3 linked regions of the Tamandua tetradactyla genome follow. The protein of the gene in region 2 interacts with the protein of the main gene of each other region in a pairwise test. Links are inferred from orthologs where the notes say so. Each region holds a gene or a part of one and is shown on either strand. Other genes may lie near its edges.

Region 1 (7,270 bases), on a different chromosome or scaffold from region 2:
GAGACCCGGGTTCGATTCCTGGTCCATGCCCTTCCCAAAAAACAAACAAGCAAAACAAAAAAACAAGCAAAGCAAACAAAAATTCCACAAATGGTGTTGCAGTAATGGGATACTCACATGGAAAAATAATGAAATGTGACCCCACCATACGGCATACAAAGAAAAACAAAAACAAAAAAACAAAACCCTCAGGACATCAGGGACTACAAACTCAGAATGACAGGAGAGTAATATGACTGGCCCCATTGACAAACCAGAGAATTTTCTGCGTAGTGGGAAGGACCCAGGACAGTGAAGGGACCAGGGACATTTAGCAAAATAAAGAAAATGGGGGAGCAGGGTGTTGGGATAGAGAGAAATGAGAGGCATTTCAATATCAAATGTCTGAGTTTGTTCCAGAGATCAAAGTCAAGGTAGCAGTTTTCAGCACAATATAAAGAAAACCTTTCTAACCTTTAAAAAATAAAACAAACTGAGCACCTCGTCACAGGGGCCGCACAACTAGCAGCCAAGGGCCACCTGGCCAGAGTGCCCCAGAGGAAGAGTGGCTGCAACGAGTGGGAGTTTGACCGCGATGGCACCTGAAGGCCCTTTTGCTTTCAAGGCTGGCGTGTGTGTCTCTGAAATCAGTTTCCTGGGGGAAGGCCTATGGGCTGATCATCTACAACCAAGTGAGGTCAGGGGCAAGGGGGGAAGCACTCACCTCTCCAGGTTGCACATTTGAGCTGCTGCAGAATCCCAAAAGCCGCCCGCTGTCCCTGGCCCTCTAGCCTGTCGGATGCCTGCGGCCCCTCTGGCACCATCGCCTCCCCCAGGCCCCGCCCCTAGCCCCAACTCACCGGGAGATGGCAAAGAGACCAGTGAGCAGTGGCAGCAGCTTCAGGGCATCCTGGGGCAGGTATGTGGAGAGCACGGCCAGGTTGAAGAAGTAGAGGATGAAGAGCTGGACTGACTGGGCCACATAGTGCCGATGAATCTCCACCTCCCGCCGAGGCTCCCCGAAGGGCCGCAGGGCAGAAAAGCACAGCAGGCTCAGCCCATACACCAGGAGCCCTGGGGTGGGGGTGGGGGTGGGGGGCACATGGGGTCAGGACAGGCAGGAGGCTAGGGGGCAGGGCCCAGGGCAGAGGGGGGCAGGCCTCGCAGAAGGACAGGGCCTAGGCTGTGCCCAGTGGGGCTGGGGGTCCTGGGAGGGGATGGGCACACAGGGGGTGGGGAGCAGGGGGACAGGGGGCGCCAAGGGGCCTGGGCTCCCACTCCCCACGGCCGGCAGGCCCTGCCCTCCCCGGGTCTGGCGCCCTTTCTCCTTGCGGGGCCCGGACTCACCCAGCACGATGGGGAAGGTGGCAAAGACCCCACAGCGCAGCGTGTAGACCAGGCGGGAGCTCACGGTGGGCAGCCGCGGGGCGTCGAAGGGCAGGAAGGCGAAGGCCCCGTACAGGAGGCAGGGGAAGAGGACGAGGGCGGCCCCCACCGAGGCCACGGCGCGCAGCCCCTCGCGGCCCCCGCAGCGCCTGCAGGCCCCGCAGGAGGGGCCGGGCGACCTCACTGCTGCCTCGGCCCACTTGCACTTGGGGGGCTCCGGGTGGATGACCCGGGCGGGCCGGAAGGCTCTGCGCTGGGCCTCGGCCGTCTCCCGGCACACAGCGCGCTCCTCGGGGGGCCGCCGCTCGATGCACTGGAGGTCGATGGGCACAAAGGCCCGCGCAGCCTTCGTGGGCAGCAGGTTGTCATCGTCTCCGGGGAGTTCCTCGGGCTTGGTGGGGGGCTCCAACTCGAGGGGCTCTGGCCCCATGTCCCGCCAGCCGGGGGGATCGGGGAATGGGGCACTGGGCTGGGGGCCAGTCCCCCAGGGCAGGGTGGCAGCCTCGCTCACCGTGCTTCCCAGACCAGCCTCAGTCTCCTCCGCAGCCGTGGGACACCCCGCTGGAGAGCCTGCTCTGGGGCACTCGGCTTCACCTTCCTCTTCTGGCTGCCGGCCATTGGGAACCAGGGCCTGGGGTGGGCTCTTCTCCAGGACCTCAGGTCCCTTCACTTCCAGCAGGGTCAGGGTCTCGGGCTCTGTCATCCTGGGGCCTCAGGTCTGGGGTGTATCGTGAGCTTGTGTCACCCTGCAGGGAGCAGAGGGAAGCTCTGTCAGAGGCCCCCGGCCCTTCCGAGCAGTTGGCAGAAACTGGAACTCTCCAGAGAGGCCAATCTCATGGGCATTGGTCTCTTTTGGGACCTTAGGGAGAACATGGTGTGGAGGGAGATGTTGAAACAGAGGGAGGAGGGAGGGAAGAAGTGAGCAGCTGAAATGGAGGCACCTTTCGACATCAGGTGCCATCCAGCAGGAGAGGGTGAGTCAGGGGGCACAGGCCCTGGCAGCTGCGGCCTCAGCCGGCCCGCCCATGCCTTCTACCCCTCCACCAAAACCCCTGGGGTCATGGCCACCCTCATCCAGGAACGAGAGGAAGAGGAGGTGTCTAGAATATTGCCGAGCGTTTCCTTCCCGCTAAAGATCTTCCTGTGGTCAGAGAAACGGCCCCTCCAACTTCCCACCTCCCCACCTCCCTGCTTAGGTAGGACTCTCCTGGAGGTGGTACCTGTGATTTGCCAACACATGTGTCCCAAGGGGCTGGCAGTCCCCAGGTGGCCTGCCCCCTCACCCCCAATCTGGGTACTTGGTCAGTTGCTGAATTCCCCATTAGCCCACCTCCGCAGAGTCCTGGTCTGTCCATTCTCAACTTCTAGGCTTAATCATGGCTGTTTCCCATGCCTCCTCTCCTGCCTTCCTCCCCTGCCTGCTGCCCTCCATCTCTCTGCTCCTGTGGATGAGACTGAGTCCTCTCCTTCCATGTCCTGGAGTGCCTGCCTACCCTCAACCATTCAGACCCATGAGACCCTCTTACTTTCCATTTGGAGAAGGCAGCGGGTCCCTGGCGTCCCGGCCCTCCAGGAAGGAGCTGCCGAACTCCCTGCTGGTTCTGCAAGTATTTCTCTCGGACTCCCTCCCTCTACCTGTGTCTCCAAACCTGTCCGACCAGAGCAGGTGGAGCCCAGATTAAAGGCGCAGGCCCCGCCCTGCTGTATCTGCCGACAGAAAAAGCCTTTCTGGAAGTGGGGCTGCTGGAAGTAGGAGGCAAGTGGAGGATGTGTAGGAGCTGCCAGCCCAGGAAGACAGAGCAGGGAGAGTGGGTCTGTACACCTAAAGGTGCTTGGAGTAGGTTGGGATATCCAGAAAAAAAGTGGAATTCGTACATTCATTCATTCAATCAATATTTATCGAGCACATATTATTAGCTAGGTATTGGCACAGATGAGAAAAGCTAACAGGCAAGGCCCCTACTCTTGAGGAACTTACTTATGTTCTATTGGAGTGGCAGAAAGTGAAGAAGCTTAGTAACTAAATAAGACAAATTCAGTAAGGGAAACGTTTTTAACAAGGTGGCATTTAAGCTGAGACCTGATGAGAAATCAGGAGTATGTGCATTCCGAGCAGAGGAACAGAAGTGAAAGGCAACTGGTGGGAAGGATTTAGATTTGAGCTGTTTCAAGAACAAAAAGAAGGTCAGGTGAATTGTGGCAGGAGCATCAGGTGGAAGGGGGAATTTATGTTCCCATTATAACAGGTATACGGGTCCAGGTGATTGCTGGAAAATATGCTTACCCCAGCTGAGGTTAGCAATATACTCTTTGTACTTAGTTCCAGAAGGACATTAACCAGACCTTCTTCGTTCTTCTTACAGGGATAAAATAACAGAATAGCATCACTGAGCCCTCAATCTTGGAGTTTGTTCCTATGAAACTTATCCCCGCAAAGGATAGGCTAAGCCTACTTAAAATTAGGCCTAAGAGTCACCCCCAAGAGAACCTCTTCTGTTGCTCAGATGTGGCCTCTCTCTCTCTCAGCCATCATGACAAGCAAACTCACCGCTTTCCCCTCTACATGCGGGACACGACTCCTAGGTGTGTAAACATCCCTGGTAACGTGGGATAGAAATCCTAGGGTGAGCTGGGACTCAGCATCATGGGATTGAGAAAATCTTCTTGACGGAAAGGGGGAAGAGAGAAATGAGATAAAATAAAGTGTCAGTGTCGAGAGGTTATCCTGCAGGTTATTCTTATGCATTGTATAGATATCCCCTTTTCAGTTTAAGATATATTAGAGAGGCTAGAGGGAAGTGCCTGAAAATGTAGAGCTGTGTTCCAGTAGCCATGTTTCTTGAAGATGATTGTATAATGATATAGCTTTCATAATGTGACTGTGTGATTGTGAAAACCTTGTGTCTGATGCTCCTTTTATCTACGGTATGGACAGATGAATAAAATGTATGGATTAAAAATAACTAAACAGGGGAAACAAATACTAAAGTTAAAAAATATATATATTGGGTAGATGGAAAAACTAGTGGTGAATGAGAGGGAGGGGTAAGGGGTATGGTATACATGAGTCTTTTCTTTCTTTTGGAGTGATGCAAATGTTCTAAAAAATTATCATGGTGATGAATATACAACTATGTGATGACACTGTGAGCCACTGATTGTATACCACGTATGGAATATTTGTATGTTACAAATGTATGTGCTTGTATGTTGTTTTATCAATAAAACTTGGAAAAAAAAAAAAAGAACACCCAGTAGCTCAGTGAATCAGTGACAAAAAGTTTGACATATCTGAAGGTCAGCTAAGAAAAGTGATGAGCATAAGAGCTTCTACGTCAATAACTAAATCTTATCACCAAAGCTGAAACAACAAAATGTGCTTGAGACAACACAGGGTTGAGAAATTTGCTGGTGCCTTCCTCATGAAGATCCAGTGTCATTGCTGACCTGACAGGAATTAATCAAGTGGCCATTACCTAGTTTTTGACCCCTTATAATCCTTCCTTTACCTATTAAAACGCTTAACTCACACCCCCACTTTGAACTGGTTTGGGGACGATTCCTCCAGTTCCTTGCAAAGTGTACTTGCAATAAATCACCTTCACACCGAGAGGTTTGTTTCTCCTTTATAGCACCGGGTCAGGTGGACCCTTTTATGGAAAGAGCTGTGCTTGTGGTATCACAGAAACACCTTGCTGTTTAGGTCTGGTTTAAGGTTAAAAAAGTAATAAGAGGGGGTACAATGGTAGTTTAGTGGTAGAATTCTTGCTGGCCATGCGTGAGACCCAGGTTTGATTCCTGGATCATGCACTATCCCCAAAAACAAACAACCAAACAACAAGCAAAACAAACAAAAATTCCAACAAAAATGGTGCTGCAACAACCGGATACTCACATGGCAATATAATGAAATATTATCCGGCCATACAGCATACAAAAAAATAAAAAGCAATAGGAATCCTAGTTAGATACCAAGTGATCTTTCCAATGTGAGGACCAGAGGCCAGAACGTTAGAGAGCAGACTAGAGAATGACTGTTCATCTTCATGGGACATTATCCCTAAAATCACTGGAACTCTTTGAGAGCAGGGACAGTGTTCAGCTTGCTCATCTCAGCGTCCCCACAACCCAGCACAACCCAGCACAGTGCCTGGATGACAGCAGGTGTTCAATAAATGTTTTCCGGACTGGTGCTAGATACATGTGCAAGCTAGAAAGCTTTGAGAGCGGGAGGTGATGGATTGAGACACTTGTACAAAAGTCATGTTTTCTCGGGTCTTGCTCCTAAGTAGTACTCGATTCTTTCCGAGGAAATGTTCACGTGCGCTTTTTTTTTTTTTTTAAATTATGGGGAAAATGGAGAATTGGAATCGTTCTAACCAGCACTCTGAACAAGGCTCGGCTCATATTGGGGGGGGGGGGGGGGTAAGGATGGGAAGGACGGGCAGAAAGATGAGCCAAACCAAATGAACACAGTAGGACAAGACAAAGCAAGGCTCCTAGGCTGCCTGCCTGCCCAAACTCAGCTGAGCTTCAGCCCTCTCACTGAGTCCACTGTCCGCTGTCTAGCAGCTTTGTCAATAAAGTTTTTCTCAAGGGCTTGGAGTAGCCGGAAAGAGGCCATGATGCCCAGAGTTAGTTCTGGCAACTTCCCGGGAGGGAAAATGAGTTTCGCGAGATTTGGCAGCAGCCGGCCACTGGTCTGCACCTGTGCAGCTGTATCGCGAGATTTGGCAGGCGGAGGAGGAGCTGTCGCGGGCAGCCGCCTCACAGCGATGGCGGCCGAGCAGGGCCGGCAGCGGTGGCGGCTGCGGCCGGAGACGGCAGCGGTGGCGGTAGCGGCGGGTGGTGGGGGCCTGTGACCGGGAGCTGCCCCCGGGCCCGGGCACCATGAGCCAAGGCCCCCCCACAGGGGAGAGCAGCGAGCCCGAAGCAAAGGTCCTCCATACTAAGCGGCTTTACCGGTGAGAGGGGCCGGGGTGTGAGTGCAGCCACCTAGGGAAGAGGGGGACAGCGGGGGCGGGGCCTCCCAGGCGGGCGGGGCCCGGGTGCCGGGCTGGGGAGGGTGCGGGCGAGGGAGGACCGTGCAGTTTTGGAGGGAGCAGGTGAGGCGCGGGACCCGGTAACCCGGAAAGGAGCTGAAAAGGAATTGGGTGGGTGGGAGAGCTGGAGGAAAGCACGTGGAGGAATACTTTCCGCAGGCAGCTTGGGTCGGGCGCCGAGCTTTGCGGAGTTGGGATAAGAGTCTGCGAATTGGGGGCTGGAGAGGTTGGGGAGGTGAGAGTGGAGTCACAGATGGCGAAAAATCCGGAAGAACCCGGTGGGGATTCTTTGTGAATGGATGAACAGGGGAGAGTCCTGAACTAGAGAGAGCCAGGTTTAGGTCCTTGCTTTGACACTCTTTCGTTGTGTGACCTTGGGCCTCAGTTTCCTCGTTCTTAAAAGGAGAGATCTGCATTGGATAAGCTCTGAAGTCTTTCCTGGTTCTAATTTTTGGGAGTTTGCGTAGAGAGACACCGGAAGGCTAGTTGTGTTGAACTGGAACGTCTAAAAGGACTTTGGGTCCAGGATGTTCTTAGGAAGTTGGAGCCCATGTCAGGACACCTGGGAACGGGAATCTTGCCTCTTCCCAGCTTCATGATACATTTTTTTGCCAGGCAGCCTCCATTCCTGGTTTCTGATTTTCACCCTGCCACCCACACTCCTCAAGTCCCATCTTCAGCCCTTGAGTCCTCTGTTGGGAACAGGCCAGTATAAACTCTTCCCACCCTGGATCAAGGATTTTTTGGGTGGAACAGCTGGAACATAGGCCCCAGAACTGGATCAGAAAAGAATGAAACACAAGATCTGGTTGAGTTTTCTGTCTTCTTTTAGGGAGTGGGGGTTGGAGTTTTCATTTAGGTCA
Region 2 (7,988 bases):
AGAGGCATAATAATACTTTAACAACAGAATTCATGAGATACGAAATCTAAGGGAACTTTTATCCATCAGAAAATACCTGCTTAGTACTCTGTAAGTGCTGTAGGAAATACCTGGTACATTCAGAGGACTTTAGACTAAAATAAGTTACAAAACAATTTCCTTAAATCACAGAATTTGTGAGAATAGCTTTTAATCCCATTAATGAATTTATGTCATTATGTAAATAGTGCCATATTGTACATTGTTGTTGAACTCCAGTGGTTTCCTTGTACAAATTTACCCTGGGAATTCCACACATTTGAAACCAACTTATCCAAGGGAGGCAAAAGACCAGTATAGTTACAAAGATTAGTTTTCTAGATAGATTGACTAAATTTTAATTTGTGTGTCCACCTTTAAATAACCTATGACCCTGAAAATGTAAAATAACATCCAAGTCTTTAACCTCTAAGAAAAATGGAAATTAATAGCACCAATTCAGTAGGTTATTGTAAGTATTAACTGGGATTATGTAAGAAAAGCTCTTTAAAAAGTGTCTGATACATAATAAATGCTCATTAAATGTTTGCTGTTGTTGTTAACCATTCCCACAGACACTCACCCATAGTGCCCAGGACCACAGCAATCACCAGTATTACCAGAAATAGGAGTCCCAGGGTCACAGCAATGGGACACCAACAAGATGTGGCACAAGTTCCTAAAGAAACAAAGGAAGCAGACATTGAGTGAAGAAGCAGGATGAAGTATCATGGCTGTGGTGGTTTGAAGGTGTTATGTACCCCACAAAAGGTCATGTTCTTTTCATCCATTCCTGTTGTTACAGACCTGTTGTAGGTGAAAACTTTTGAGTAGGTTATTTCAATTGAGATGTGATCTGCCTCATTCAAGGTGGGTCTTAGCACTTTGAATGGAGTCCTTTATTAAAGGTTAAAGGACACACAGAGAAAAAGCCTAGAGTTTCAGAGAAGACTCACAAAATCTGAGCGACAAAGACACACCCACAGAAGCTGATGGAGGAAGCCACTGAAGCCTGAAGTTAAAAGCAATGAATTTTAGGAGAGAAGGACCAGCAGGACACAGAAGCATCCCAGATGCTGGCAGTCTTTCTTTAGAATGCAGATATCGTCCTGTTGATGCCTTCAGTTGGACATTTTCATGGCCTAAGAACAGTAAATTGTAAATTAATAAATCCCCATTACTAAATGCCAACCCATTTCTCATATATTGCATTTTGTCAGCTTTAGCAAACCAGAACACTGGCACTCTTACTTCTACAGGTCATCAAAATATGACAAATTCTAAGGAAAACCATGAGTCACTGCTGCCCAGATAAACTAGACATGTAGGATTAGTCTGAATTTCTTTCTGGAACTCTAATTTGCGCACAGAGCCTTGGTGTCTATGCACTCTAAATTTCAGTTTCACATTTGATGCCTCTAAGCCTTGTCACTACCAGGAACCCTGAAATCCCATTCCTTCTCAGAGGACACAGCTTTATGTAGGGGAAAGAGTACTGGTTACTGAGGGTGGCAAAATCAAAACATGAAGCATCTCTTTTTCACTTATTTATTGCATGACCATGGGCAAATTACTCCCTATCATTTGTTATTTTTCTTTGTGGAAAGCTGAATAATAATACCTCAAGTGATTTTTGTGGGGATTAAATGTACTAACCCTTGTATAAAGGAGTTAGTTTAGGGACTACCAGCAGATTTTTGGTACTCAGTGTTTGTCCACACATAAGCATAAATACACAAACACCTCCCCACCTCTTGCCTCACCGAGTTTTCCACTCTGCCCAGTGGTTGCCCAAGAAAATAATTATACAAGCAGGGTGAGATGGAAATAGTTGTGCAATGTGAACCAGCAGAAAGCAGAAGAGAGAGACTTCTCATGTCAAAACTTAGGAATAGTCTCTCCCTTGATAATAACAGGAAACGAAATTGTGCTAACTTCACCACTTCAAGAATGCATTTCTGTTTTTAACTGAGAATAGGTAATAAGAACATTTCATAGAATTGCCAAGTTGGAGACTCACAGAGGAAACTAAATCACTCATTCTATGAAGAAACAAATCTTTTTACTACCCTACTCCATATTTCAGTACTTACATTTTGTTTAAGACCCATGTCCTGCTAATGGGATCATTTCATTTAACATATATATTTTTCATCATTTGTATCCCAATAACTTCCTTTAGTTTTTGGGATACAAAAATACACATAAATCAACCTCTCATCACACAAATCATTGAGGATTCTACACCCTATGATTTCTGATAGGCCTGTGGCCTTTAATCATACATTACAAGTTCTTTTGCTCTTCGTTTCATCCCTCACCTATTTTTCATCTTTTCATTCTTCTCTTTCTTATCTGTTGTTATTGCTCATTTGCAACATTATATATATTTCTACAAACTATACCATTCTAGCAAACAAGCTACAAGCCACTCTTAAAGGAATTCCTTCATCTTTACCTATGATTTCACTTAGTACTAGTTTTTTACTGCTGAAGTATTACTGCCATCATCATAATTAATTTAAAAACCTATAACTAGCTACCAAATGCTATTATCTAGGTTACAATGATAAAAATTTTAGTGTACATTCAAATTACTTTGGTCATTCAAGTGACCAAAAGTCACTTCAGTGACTTTTGGAAAGCTAAACTTTAAATATGTTAATAAAATCCCTACATATGACAAATGACAATTCTCTCAAATTTTCACCACTTACATACTTTTAGATGATGACAAAATCCGTGTTAAGAGCATAAAACAAAAATTACCTTTCTTTGAAACCAAAGGTCTCCTGGTGATGCCTTGAGATGTGAAATTTAACTGTGTATATCCATCTTCATCCAAATTTTCAAAACCAGTATTGCTTTGCATTATTGTATTGAATCCCTGAACAGACCCAGCATTTGGGAACTCTTTCCTCTTTCCTTCCAACTTAACTGCCCATGCACAAGACAGTATCTATGAGTCAAATCATGTGGGATGGACAAGTTGAATTTAAGTAGTCCAACCAGATACACAAAAGCAGGAAATGAAAACTATGCTGTTGTAATTTCCCATTTGTGCTTTTAGATCTTGTTTTTGAGACTTTTGACTTTAAGAAAAGTATACAGCAGCATAGTAGGTAGTTCTTTGTTTCAAACCAAATAAATAAGAATATATAGATGGGTGTCTGATGCTGTTCTCACGACTCTACAACTGAATTTTACATCACTAATGACTTAGCCATATGTAAACTATTAAGCAATTTTGATTCTTTGAATTCAGTATTGCTTCATCATACTTAAACATTCTTTTATTTTTGTATTCATTCATTCAGTAAACTCCTATTAATTATTCATCTTTTCAATTGCTAGGAGTTGGGGATAAAAGAATAAATGATACCTGTGAAGGAGCTCTTTGCCTAATAGGGGAAATCCACAGGCAGTTTTGGGAGGGATATAGTAAGAGATGCATTATTACAACAACAGAGAGAGGAATTAAATATCTTTGGGATTTGTCAGGGAATAGTAATACAAAGTAGTAATCAGTTATTGAACAATTATTATGTGCTAGTACTGCATGTTGCACATTTTCTCATTTAATCGGTTTTCCAGCAAGCCCATGCGCACAGGTATTATTATTCCTATATTCAAATGGTGACAGCGTGACATAGAAAATTCAGTCCTTATTCAACTTTAAAAAGCTAATTTAAAAATGGAGTAAAGAATAAACCAAGGTTTACTCTTCTTGCAAATCTCATGCTCTTTTCTGTTTTCTTACCCTGCCTCCTTCACCATTCTGTTCATTTCTGTTGCAATTAACAGTTTATGGAGAGTTCTTTCTTTGAATTTTCATAATCATGACCAAATCAATGATATATGGAAAACACTTATCACTGCTGGAAACTAGAGTGGTGTTCAATCCATTTACCAAACTTTGAAGGGAGCAGAATGCAGGAGACATCTGTCTAAGGTGTATCAAAATGGATGAGACTTCACTGGAGAGTAAATAAATGGCTGTCCCCTCCTTATTTAATGTACCACAAAAGTTCTACTAATAATTTGTAGATACGTTGCAAAGTGGTAGTGTAGATCTAATCTCAATAATTTTAACCTTCCAGTTCTATAATCCAGTCCTTGGAAAGCAGGGAATACCATAATATTTGTCACAGAGAGATTGACTTGGCTCAAAGAAGAAGGGTCAGTCTAGTAAACAAAACCAGAAAACAATGATGAAGGACGCATCTCCCTGGAAGTAACTGGCGAAGTTGACTTTATACTGTCAATTCAAGCTCTTAACCGAAGTCTTTCTGATGACAAGACTTTTGTTCTCCATGACTGTTTTAGTTTGCAAATCTGCCAGAATGCAGAAACGGAATGGCTTTTAAATTCATTAAGTTGAAAGTTTACAATTCTAAGTCCATGAAAATATCAAAATTAAAGCATCAGGGAAAGAAACTTTGATTCAAGAAAGGCCAGTGGGTCCAAAGCACATCTCTCAGCTGGAAAGGCACATGGTGACATCTGCTAGCTTTCTCTTTTCATTTCATAAGGCTTCCACAGGGGCATTCTCCTTCTGCATCTATAAAGATCTTTGGCTGTGTGGGCTCTTAACCTTTTTCAAAAATGTTTCCCTCCTGAAGGGCTCCAGTAAGGAATCCCACCTTGAGTGGATAGAGACACAATTCCATGGAAGCCATTTAATCAAAAGTCACCACCCACCATTGGGTGGGTCACATCTCCATGGAAATAATAAAAAAGATCCTGTCCAGCAATACTGAATGAGGATTAAAGGACATTGCTTTTCTGGGGTATATAATAGCTTCAAACCGGCACAATGACTGTCTTCCATTTGATCACAATCCAACAAAATAATTGGTTAAGGTGCCAAAGAAAATGTTCAATAAACAGAAACTTTAGTTTTCTTTTATCTGGGACCAAAATAAGTGAACATGTATTTATTACAACCACAAGGCTGACAACTAAATTGACAACCTGGGGTGGGGGTGAGGGACGCTCAGCACCGCAAGGAGGAGGTGAAAGGAGACAGTCTGAGCATTACAAAAATATATACCTGGATAAACGTGAATATAAGAAAGAGGAGAGACACAAACAAACCTAACCTAAAACCAAATAGGCAAGGGACAATGATCCAATCCATCTTCATGAGGAGATATGATGAAACATTGTATTCATTATGCAAGAGTGATCTTCCAAGAAAAATGAGGCAGCGGAGAAGAAAAGTGAGTTCTTTGAAGTGGAAAACTCATTTTATAGATTTAAAATTTAATTAACTGAATGAAGAATCTAATTGAATATCACATAAATGAAAGAACTGAAGCAACTGCATCCAGAGTCTTCCTGGTCACTCACTCATTTTTATGTATGTCAAGCTCCTCCCAGAACTGAGTCTCAAAACTAATGTCAAAGTAAATAAAAGTCTATTTTGTAGGTTTACTAGAATGAGTAGCATGTCAGGAAAATGCACGAGACAAGAGTCTGAAGTATGTCAGTCCAATGTAATTTTTTGAAATTTTATACTTATAAAAATAGAAAAAAACAGAAATAAATGGGTAAATGGATTAGGTGGAAAACAAAAACATTGAAAGAAAATAAACTAAGCATTCATGTAAGAACCATTGCAGAAAAAAAACAAGTACGTCCTCAGGAAATAGCAACATAAGTACCTTCCCTGCTCATGCTCACAAATTTCCAACAAATAATCAAATTTCACCTCCAATTTGAATTCTCACATGTGGGTCTCATTCCTTCCTTTCTTCATTTCTTCATCTCTCAATTCCTGCCTCCATCCATCCTTTAAGCAATTAAATAGCTGCTGAATATTTACAACATTCTCAGAAGCTTGGGTACAAAGAAATATGAGGACCTAAGCCCATTTCAGTTGGGTTCACATTATACTTGGCAGAAAAAGACAAATAAAAATTACTTTAATATCCTTTGGTTGGTGCAGACCACAAAATTGATGTATTTGCTTATTACAAGTAAACTAATTGTCATAGAACCCTTTCTTAGAATGCCTTAAAAAATACAATTAAATCAAAATATCTCTATTAAAAAATCAATCAATCTTCCATAGTGAAAAATGTACCCTTCACCATCTTATCTTATTTCAACTCTTCTTTCCTAGATCTATTTACTCTCCTGCCTCCCTACTATTTCAGTAATTTCAGTTTGCTACTTTTTTCACATTCTATACATACTCTTGAAGATTCCTCCTGCCTTGTTCCCCTTTTCTTTCATTTATAATATGAGAGAAAATGTATGTGTGTGTATGTATGTGTACATATCTATATATATCTATATAGATAGAAACCACACTCAAATGGGCCTTGTATTTGAATCTTCCCATGTTTCTCAAGTAGAAATGGTACATGTGTGGAATTTTCTTGTTTTTAGGTGCTTGTAACTCTGTGTCTTCACCAGTCACTGAATTTCTTTTCATTTAAACCTAAAGCAGATCATTTCTTTTTTACTGCCCTCTCCTCTAGATAGCAAAATGATTTTCAGTAATAATTACGAAAATGGAATAAATAAAAATGGCCAGAAAACAAATGTAGACAATGAAAAGTATTCTTATTGAGCTTTATATAAAAAATATGACAACAAAAATAAACAAGAACATGCAATAGATACAATACTATTAAAATAGATTTTACCACACAAAATACTTTCAATTACATGAGTAAAACCTTTTGAATTATATTTATATATTTTTGAAAAGAGCAAAAGTACTTGTAACCATATATTGATTTGCCACAACAATAAATAGCAACATTATAATTTCTGTTTTAGACCCAATCATCTCCAAATTTGTCAGTGATTTCAATAAAATTATTTTTTATACATCCATTTACTCATGACTGATTGAAGAAAGCTTATTTCCTCTAATTTTTTTATTTTATTTTTTTATTAATTAACGGAAAAAAAGAAATTAACCCAACATTTAGAAATCATACCATTCTACATATGCAATCAGTAATTCTTAACATCATCACATAGACGCATGATCATCGTTTCTTAGTACATTTGCATCGGTTTAGAAGAACTAGCAACACAACAGAAAAAGATATAGAATGTTAATATAGAGAAAAAAAATAAAAGTAATAATAGTAAAAAAAAAAAAAACCAAAAACCTATAGCTCAGATGCAGCTTCATTCAGTGTTTTAACATGATTACTTTACAATTAGGTATTATTGTGCTGTCCATTTTTGAGTTTTTGTATCTAGTCCTGTTGCACAGTCTGTATCCCTTCAGTGCCAATTACCCATTATCTTACCCTGTTTCTAACTCCTGCTGGACTCTGTTACCAATGACATATTCCAAGTTTATTCTTGAATGTCGGTTCACATCAGTGGGACCATACAGTATTTGTCTTTTAGTTTTTGGCTAGACTCACTCAGCATAATGTTCTCTAGGTCCATCCATGTTATTACACGCTTCATAAGTTTATCCTGTCTTAAAGCTGCATAATATTCCATCATATGTATATACCACAGTTTTTTTAGCCACTCGTCTGTTGATGGACATTTTGGCTGTTTCCATCTCTTTGCAATTGTAAATAACGCTGCTATAAACATTGGTGTGCAGATGTCTGCTTGTGTCTTTGCCCTTAAGTCCTTTGAGTAGATTCCCAGCAATGGTATTGCTGGGTCGTATGGCAATTCTATATTCAGCTTTTTGAGGAACCGCCAAACTGCCTTCCACAGTGGTTGCACCATTTGACATTCCCACCAACAGTGGATAAGTGTGCCTCTTTCTCCGCATCCTCTCCAGCACTTGTCATTTTCTGTTTTGTTGATAATGGCCATTCTGGTGGGTGTGAGATGTTATCTCATTGTGGTTTTGATTTGCATTTCTCTAATGGCCAGAGACATTGAGCATCTCTTCATGTGCCTTTTGGCCATTTGTATTTCCTCTTCTGAGAGGTGTCTATTCAAGTCTTTTTCCCATTTTGTAATTGGGTTGGCTG
Region 3 (7,686 bases), on a different chromosome or scaffold from region 2:
TAAATAAATAATGGGGGGGATAAGGGGTAAAAAAAAAAAATGGGTAGATTGCAATACTATGAGAGGGAGGGTAAGGGGTATGGGATGTATTTTTTTTTTCTTTTGTCTTTTTATTTCTTTTTCTGGAGTGATACAAATGTTCTAAACATGATCATGATGACGAATACACAAATGTGAAGATACCGTGAACCAATGATTGCATAGTTTGGTGGACCGATGCACGAATATATCTCAATAAAATTTTTTTTTCCAAAAAGACACTCTGTATAGACAGGTTTACTGGCACACAATCCCGTCGTTTCAAAAAATCTCTTAAAAAATGTTTATTTGGTACAAAATTTATATTTTGACTACTGCATTTCCTAATATAACTTCTGTGGAGAGATTAACTGAACACCATAAATAGATGGAACCTTGAGTAGGGCATGAGATTTTGTAGGTTTGTCCAGAGTGATGCCCCAATAAATCCCAGAGTGATTTGAACAGTGAACAGAAAAGTATTTGCAAAGTCCCCTTGGGGGAATGACAAGAAAAGGGGAAAATTCAACTTCCTCAAGTAGAGAATTCCTGATATTCTCACAAGCAGTGGGGACAATCAAAGCAAAAGGCTGAGCCCCCAGTCTTGGGGTTTGTTCAGATGAAACTTAACCCCACAAAGGATAGGTCAAGACTACTTAAAATTTAGGCCTAAGAGTCACCCCCAAGAGAGCCTCTTTTGTTGCTCAGATGTGGCCTCTCTCTCCAGCCAACACAGCAAGCAAACTCACCATGCTCCCCCTGTCTACCTGGGACTTGACTCCCAGGGGTGTGGACCTTCCTGGCAACATGGGACAGAAATCTTAGAATGAGCTAAGACTCAGCATCCAGGGATTGGGAAAACCTTCTCCACCAAAAGAGGGAAGAGGGAAATGAGACAAAGTATCAATGGCTGAGAGATTCCAAACAGAGTTGAGAGCTTATCCTGGAGGTTATTCTTATGCATTAGGTAGTTATCACCTTGTTAACCAAGATGTAATGGAGAGGCTGGAGGGAACCGCCTGAAAATGCAGAGCTATGTTCCAGTAGCCACTTTTCTTGATGATGACTGAATAATGATATAGCTTCCACAATGTGACTGTGTGATTGTGAAAACCTTGTGTTTGATGCTCCTTTTATCTACCTTGTCAACAAACAAGTAGAACATATGGAATAAAAATAAATAATAGGGGAACAAATGCTAAAATAAATTTAGTTTGAAATGCTAGTGATCAATGAAAGTGAGGAGTAAGGGGTATGGTAGGTAAAATCTTTTTTTTTTCTTTTCTGTTTTTGTTTTATTTCTTTTTCTATTGTCTTTTTGTTTCTTTTTCTGAATTGATGCAAATGTTCTAAGAAATGATGAATATGCAACTAAGTGATGATATTGTGAATTACTGATTATAGATATGTTAACGTTTTATTTGGTCTGTTAAATTTTTTTATAAATAAATTTTTTTTTTTATCAATAAAAAAAAATTAGGCCCAAGAGTCATTCCCAAGAGAACCTCCTTTGTTGCTCAGATGTGGCCTCTCTCTCTCAGCCAACACAACAAGCAAACTCACCACTCTCCCCCTGTCTACGTGGGACATGACTCCCAGGGGTGTGGACCTTCCTGGCAACGAGGGACAGAAATCCTAGAATGAGCTGGGACTTAGCTTGATCAAGGGACTGAGAAAACCTTCTCCACGGAACGGGGGAAGAGGGGAATGAGACAAAATAAAGTGTCAGTGGCTGAGAGACTTCAAACAGACTCAAGAGGTGATCCTGGAGGTTATTCTTACGCATTTTATAGACATCACCTTTTTAGTTAAGGTGTAACGGAGAGGCTGGAAGGAACTGCCTGAAAATGTAGAGCTGTGATTGTATAATGATGTAGATTTCACAATGTGACTGTGTGATTGTGAAAAACCTTGTGTCTGATGCTCCTTTTATCTATCTTATCGACAGACGAGTAAAACATATGGATTAAAAATAAAAAATAATAGGGGGAACAAATGTTTAAAAAAATCGCTTAAGCAACTTTGAGAGAACTCAAAAAAAAAGAAGAAAAAGAAAAGAAAAAAGTAACTTAGCCTCCTCACACCCACACAAGATTCAGGTAACCACTAAATTACCAAATGGATGTTCCTCACTGTGGTAACAAAAGAACGCAACAAGCGATCTCTCGTGCCGAACCTTGGGGAAAGCCCAATTCGGCGACTTTAATTCAGCTGATGCAAAGGCTCGAGGCCCACTGCACACCTGAGCTACCACAGCTCCCTCGGCTCCCCAGCCCCCGTCGTCCTGCCCTCCCACCCGTCCATCCCCCCGCGGCCCCGCTGCACGTCCCAGGTCTCCCTACGGCCCCGCAGCCGCCCGCTCCGCCCACCGTCCCCGCCCCGCCTTTCCGCCCCGCGCCCCGCGCCCCGCCCCCTCCAGGCCTCCATTGGCCCCGCTTCTGCGGCCCCACCCCGGGCGGAATCTTCTCTTCCAGCTACCGGCTCGGAACTCGGACCCCTTCTCTTCCTTCCCACTCGCACAACCCTAACACCGAACCGAAACAGCCCCAACCCAAGATCTAAGAAAAGAGGAGAGAATGGCGAAGAGGAAGACAAGAGCAAGTCTTCCTGACAGGGGATGGGAGCTGTCAGTCACACCAACATCCACCGCCTTGACCAATAGGCTGCCTTCTCTTCCCGCACGCACCTCCCTCGCCCCCCGCGTTAAGCTTGTGGTGGCGGCCCGACCAGCTCCTCCTCCCCCATACCCTTCACCAATCCCACCCGCCCAGCACTCACTGTTGAGGCCGGCTGGCGGTGGCAAAGGCTGTTCACCTTCATCGCAGTTGTTGTTGTTATTATGCAGAGGCGGCGGCTGCTCAACTAAATGAGACGACATCGTCCAACGCCTGTGAGAGCTGCGGTCGCAGCAGGACCGTCTCTGGTTCTCCGGCAGCAACACAACAAGCTGAGTCCCCCGCCCCCTTTTCTGCGCTTGCGCAGACCCGCCCCTGCGCTGACGTCAGAGCCCGCCTAGGCCACGTGATAACAACACAACAAACGACGGGGCGGGACCTGGGCGTTCCCGTGCGAGGCACAGACGTGGAGACGCGAGAGTCAGGATGACGTCCGTGCCAGGAGTGAATTCTTGCACGTAATTCGCACCGACTGGATGGAATGAGTTATACAGATGGCACTGGGATAGAGGATAGGGAGAAGTATATAATGAGGAAGTGTAAGGTGCTACTGTGTGAGCGCTCAAATCTCCCGCACCTGCAGAATCAACGTTGTTTTATCCAGTCTGTGAACATTTATTTTTCCGTATCTGTTACAGACTCTCAGTTCTCTCGTAGGTTTCGTGATGACACAAAGGAAGCAAAAAACTCAGGGACTCCTAGCATATATTAAGATAAATCTGCGGAACATTAAGACCGCAAACAGGGAACAATATGAGACAGCCCAGACTTTGTTAGTTGTCGTTTTAATAACTTTTTAAATTTTAATTATAAATTTAAATTTTTTCTAGTTTTAAATTTAATGACTTTTTAAATTTTAATAATACACGACCATTGTAAGCAATGGGAAAGATTCAGGGAAAACATGGGAAGAAAATAATTACCCCCAATCCCGTCATCTAATTTATCTCTGCGATCTACTTCATAGGAAGCTGTGTGACACTAAACCATTTATGTTCCTAAATACTCCACCTTCTTTATATTTCCATGTCTTCTTCCAGTTTCCATGGTCTGATTTATGTGTGGTATACGTTTTCTCTCAGTCTCTCTTGTCTTTTAACTTTGTTTCACTTTGAAGAAATGTAAAACTTCATATTATCAAATCTATCAGTCATATTGTTTAGGAAGACCTTCACTCTGCGATTATGAATATATTCCCCCATAATGTCTTCTAATCCTTAATAGATGTAATTTTTACATTTTACATTTAATCCATGTGAAATTTAATTTTGATATTTTGTGAATTAGCTTTGTTCTTTCCCAGTCGAATAGTCAGCTGACCCTACAATATTGGTACATTTTGAAGCCAAACATTCCACACTGATTTAAAATTGCCCCTTTGCAATGTTCTAAATTCCCACAATAACGTGGGTCCTTTTCAGGGCCCTTTACAATAACTCTATTAAATAACTGTTAGAGAAAATTTCTTCTCGTTTGTCTTTTAAAAATATTTAATAACTATTTTAACTTAATTACTCCTCAGATGAATTTTAAAATTGATTGGTAGTTATTGAAGGTAGGTGACGGGTACACTAAACTATTCTTCCAACTTTTTAATATATTTGAAATACTTTACGCTGAAAGTTTTTTTTGAATAATTGATTTTATGTCCTATTGCAAGTTCTTTTAAGATTTTGATCAGAAATGTGTTCAATTAATACACTAATTGGGGGGAATGAGTGATTGACACAATTACAACATTGTCTTCCCATTCAGGGTCATGATCTCCCTTCTTATTCTGATTTCTTTTAGGTAATTGACATTTCTTAAACTGTTTTGAGCTTTGTTATACTCTTATGCTCATCTTGTAAAAAAGTAATTTGAAATTCCTCTTCTATGATCTTGAGTAGCTTAAATTGAAAATCACTTTTCTTTAAAGATAAAGTGCAGTTCTTCTATGAAAACATGTTGGGAGTGTTAGTTCCCTTTTTCTACGATCTTAGATTTATTTCTTACTTTGGGTTATTTATCCTTTATTTTTTCTTGATTATGTTAGCAAATAGTTTATCTGTTTTATAATTCTAAAGTAAAAATGTCCTGTAATTTTCGGTTCTGCCCTTTGTTTGTTTTCTGATCCCTGCTTCCTGGTTGTACTATTCTTAATCCTTTTTTAAAACAGCTTAATTGACATATAATTCATATTATACTGTACAATGAATGTATTTAAAGTTTAAAATGTAATGTTTTGTGTATTATTCACAGTTTTGCAAAATTAGCAGAACTTATTTTGGGACATTTTATCATCCCCAAAAGAAAGAAACCCAGTACCAATTAGCAGTCATTCCTTAATTTTCCTAATTTCTTAGGTTTGATGCTTATATAATTCTTTTATTAATTTGAATTTTTAAGTCTAAGAACTTTTGCCTGATCAGAATGTGTCTTTATATCATTTCTAGCTTGGGGAATTTTTTTTAAGTTTTCTTTGAAGCCTAACATATGGTTCTTTTCAGGGAATATTCCATGAGTACTTGAAAAAAACATGTAGTTTCTGTGTTCAGGGTATCAGGTTTGATGTATCTACTGGAACTACTTTAATAGTAATGCCATTTTTTCATAGTTACTTTTTTCTCTCTGTGATGGGATTCCAAGAGATCAGTTAATAACCCCTACTCTTACTGTGTTTCTGTTTATTCTTTTATCTTCTTTAGTTATATTTGATGCTTCATTATTTGATACATTTGTTCATAATTCTTTATCATCATGAAGTGGTATTTTGTCCTCAGTTCAACCTTGTCTGATATTGTGATCATGAGCCTTGTTTTTTAAATTTTTATTCTTTAGTTGCATTGACCTGATGCACCCATTCTTTTAATTTTCAACCTGAGTCACTTGATTACAGCAAAATGTAGCTTTCGCTTTAGGATCCAACCCAAAATTCTTTTAATAGGGTAGTTTAACAAATTTACATTTACTGATAATGTAAATATGTTGGAACTAGTACTGTTATTGTATATCAGGCTTTCCATTTTAATGTCCTGAAAATAGTTTTCACTATGGGGTCTAGAGAAGCAAGGTGTTTAAAGGCATGAAAAGACAGTATCTTTCATTTTAGAAAGCTGGAATAATTCTGACAAAAATAGCTACACACAAATATTAAAAATCAATCTGAATTAGTATACAGAAGTAAAAATCCAATATTAATTCATTTCTTTAATAGTTGAAAACGAAAAGTAAACTCAATTACCAAACGCATTTGATTAAGAAGAAAAAAATAGGGCGAGGTAGATATTTTTTTAACATGATAGAGTATTCATTGAAGGTATTCTTGTTGCTAAAAACTACAAAATACTGAAGACAGAAGCCAAAGAATTATATAATTGGAGCAATATGCTGTATTCATTAATTGGAAGAGAAATGTTAAGATGATGATTCTCCCCGAACTGGTCTATGGATTCAATGCAATTATCACTAAAATCCAAGTGAATTTATTTTGAAACAACCTGATTGATTATACAATGTACATGGTAAAGCAGAGAAACTAGAACAACAAAATTTTGAAGAATGAAAGAGTTGATTTACTCTAAGTATCTGACTTTAAGGCATATATAGACTGGATAGTCTTTTCAACAAATGATGCTAAAACAATTGGATCTCCATTTGCATAACAACCCACATCTATCCATACCTTATACCATATATAAAAATCAACTCAAAATGAGTCATAGGCAAAAATTGAAACTATTAAACTCTAAAATAAAATAGCAAAGCATTGTGACCTTGGACTAGGCAAAGATTTCTTATATATGACCCAAAAAAGCATAATGCATAAAATGAACAAATTTGACTTTATGAAAAATCAAGAACCTCTGCTCTTCAAAAGACACTATTAAAATTTCACAATATGCAAATTGGGTTACCATTTTTTACTTTTCCAAATCAACTAAGATGAAGCATGAGATTTTTGTCCAGCTTCGAAAGTGTGAAAATAAGGTTAATCTCCTATACTTCTGATGGAAACTTCCATTTTTGGAAGGAGAAATTTGGAAGTATGAACCAAATCATAAATACACCCATATCCTTTGAACAAGATTCCACATTCTAAAAGTAAAAATTTCTAAAAGTAAATTCGTAAGAATGCATAGGTTTTCTCACCCAATGAGATTGGCGTTTCTTCCTTTTTCCTGTACTTTCTAAAGTGCATGTATTACTCTTATATGCAAGCTATCTATGAATGAATTTAGACAGTCTAGTCAACTCAGCATTAATGTGCAACATGAAATTCCTGGTCTCCTTATGAAGGAAGATGTAGAATTTGCTCATGTAACAAGAAGGATCTGCCTTTGCACAGGGGTGGGCAGACTAAGTAGCCTGTGAATGAAAAAAATGGCAGCTCAGAACCCTCTGCCTTTTTGCTCCTTCCCCAATGATGTATGAAGGACCATGAAAGATATCAGTTTGCATTTGGGTTGCCCTTTTTTATCACCAGGCCCCTCAAACACTCAAGGAACACACTGAATAGTGGTTTTATCTGGACTTCTCTTTATTTGGACCCTGATCTGGTTTTTAATAATGAGGATCTTCCAGCAAAAAAACAGAAATCCTCTTGTTCATGCATTCTCAAAAAATACCTGGTAAAGGCTGTTAAGACTTAACTGTTGCCCTCTAGTGGAAAAGTCCTCAAATAACTTGGTGCTATTAAAGATGAACATTAAGCTTTTCCCCTACAGCGATTTAATTACCTGTTTGTCAAACTAGACTTTCAGAGGAAACTAAACTTCGTAGTGCCTTCTATTTGATAGGCACTGTGGTAGAGAGAGCCTTTTTTATGTTATTTTAAGACTATAAGGTCGGTATGGTATTTTTACAGAGGTAAGGAGTTACAAACTCTAATACTCTTCCAGTTTTACTGGCATGTCAGAGACAAAACTATTATTAAAACTATATATATTTATAAAAACTATTTATAAACTGTATATATATATATATATATATGTATTTATAAACTATACTCAGC

The links.
Region 1: the proteins of CLEC7A (region 2) and TMEM79 interact in binary tests that used the Homo sapiens proteins (3 or more experiments, as listed by UniProt). The two-hybrid records come from large-scale screens. The link is inferred for Tamandua tetradactyla from reciprocal best matches to the Homo sapiens genes CLEC7A and TMEM79.
Region 3: the proteins of CLEC7A (region 2) and BNIP3L interact in binary tests that used the Homo sapiens proteins (3 or more experiments, as listed by UniProt). The two-hybrid records come from large-scale screens. The link is inferred for Tamandua tetradactyla from reciprocal best matches to the Homo sapiens genes CLEC7A and BNIP3L.

The regions. Positions count from the first base shown.
Region 1 is NC_135330.1:9,312,561-9,319,830, reverse strand, and holds the start of TMEM79 (transmembrane protein 79), read right to left. Parts: upstream 3,011-7,270; 5' UTR 2,892-3,010; intron 2,112-2,891; 5' UTR 2,069-2,111; coding exon 1,327-2,068; intron 1,054-1,326; coding exon 840-1,053; intron 1-839. Other genes in the region: nonsense-mediated mRNA decay factor SMG5, read left to right, coding at 6,256-6,329.
Region 2 is NC_135333.1:72,542,311-72,550,298, forward strand, and holds the start of CLEC7A (C-type lectin domain family 7 member A), read right to left. Parts: upstream 3,085-7,988; 5' UTR 2,891-3,084; coding exon 2,788-2,890; intron 698-2,787; coding exon 602-697; intron 1-601.
Region 3 is NC_135329.1:27,302,261-27,309,946, reverse strand, and holds the start of BNIP3L (BCL2/adenovirus E1B 19 kDa protein-interacting protein 3-like), read right to left. Parts: upstream 3,003-7,686; 5' UTR 2,897-3,002; coding exon 2,797-2,896; intron 1-2,796.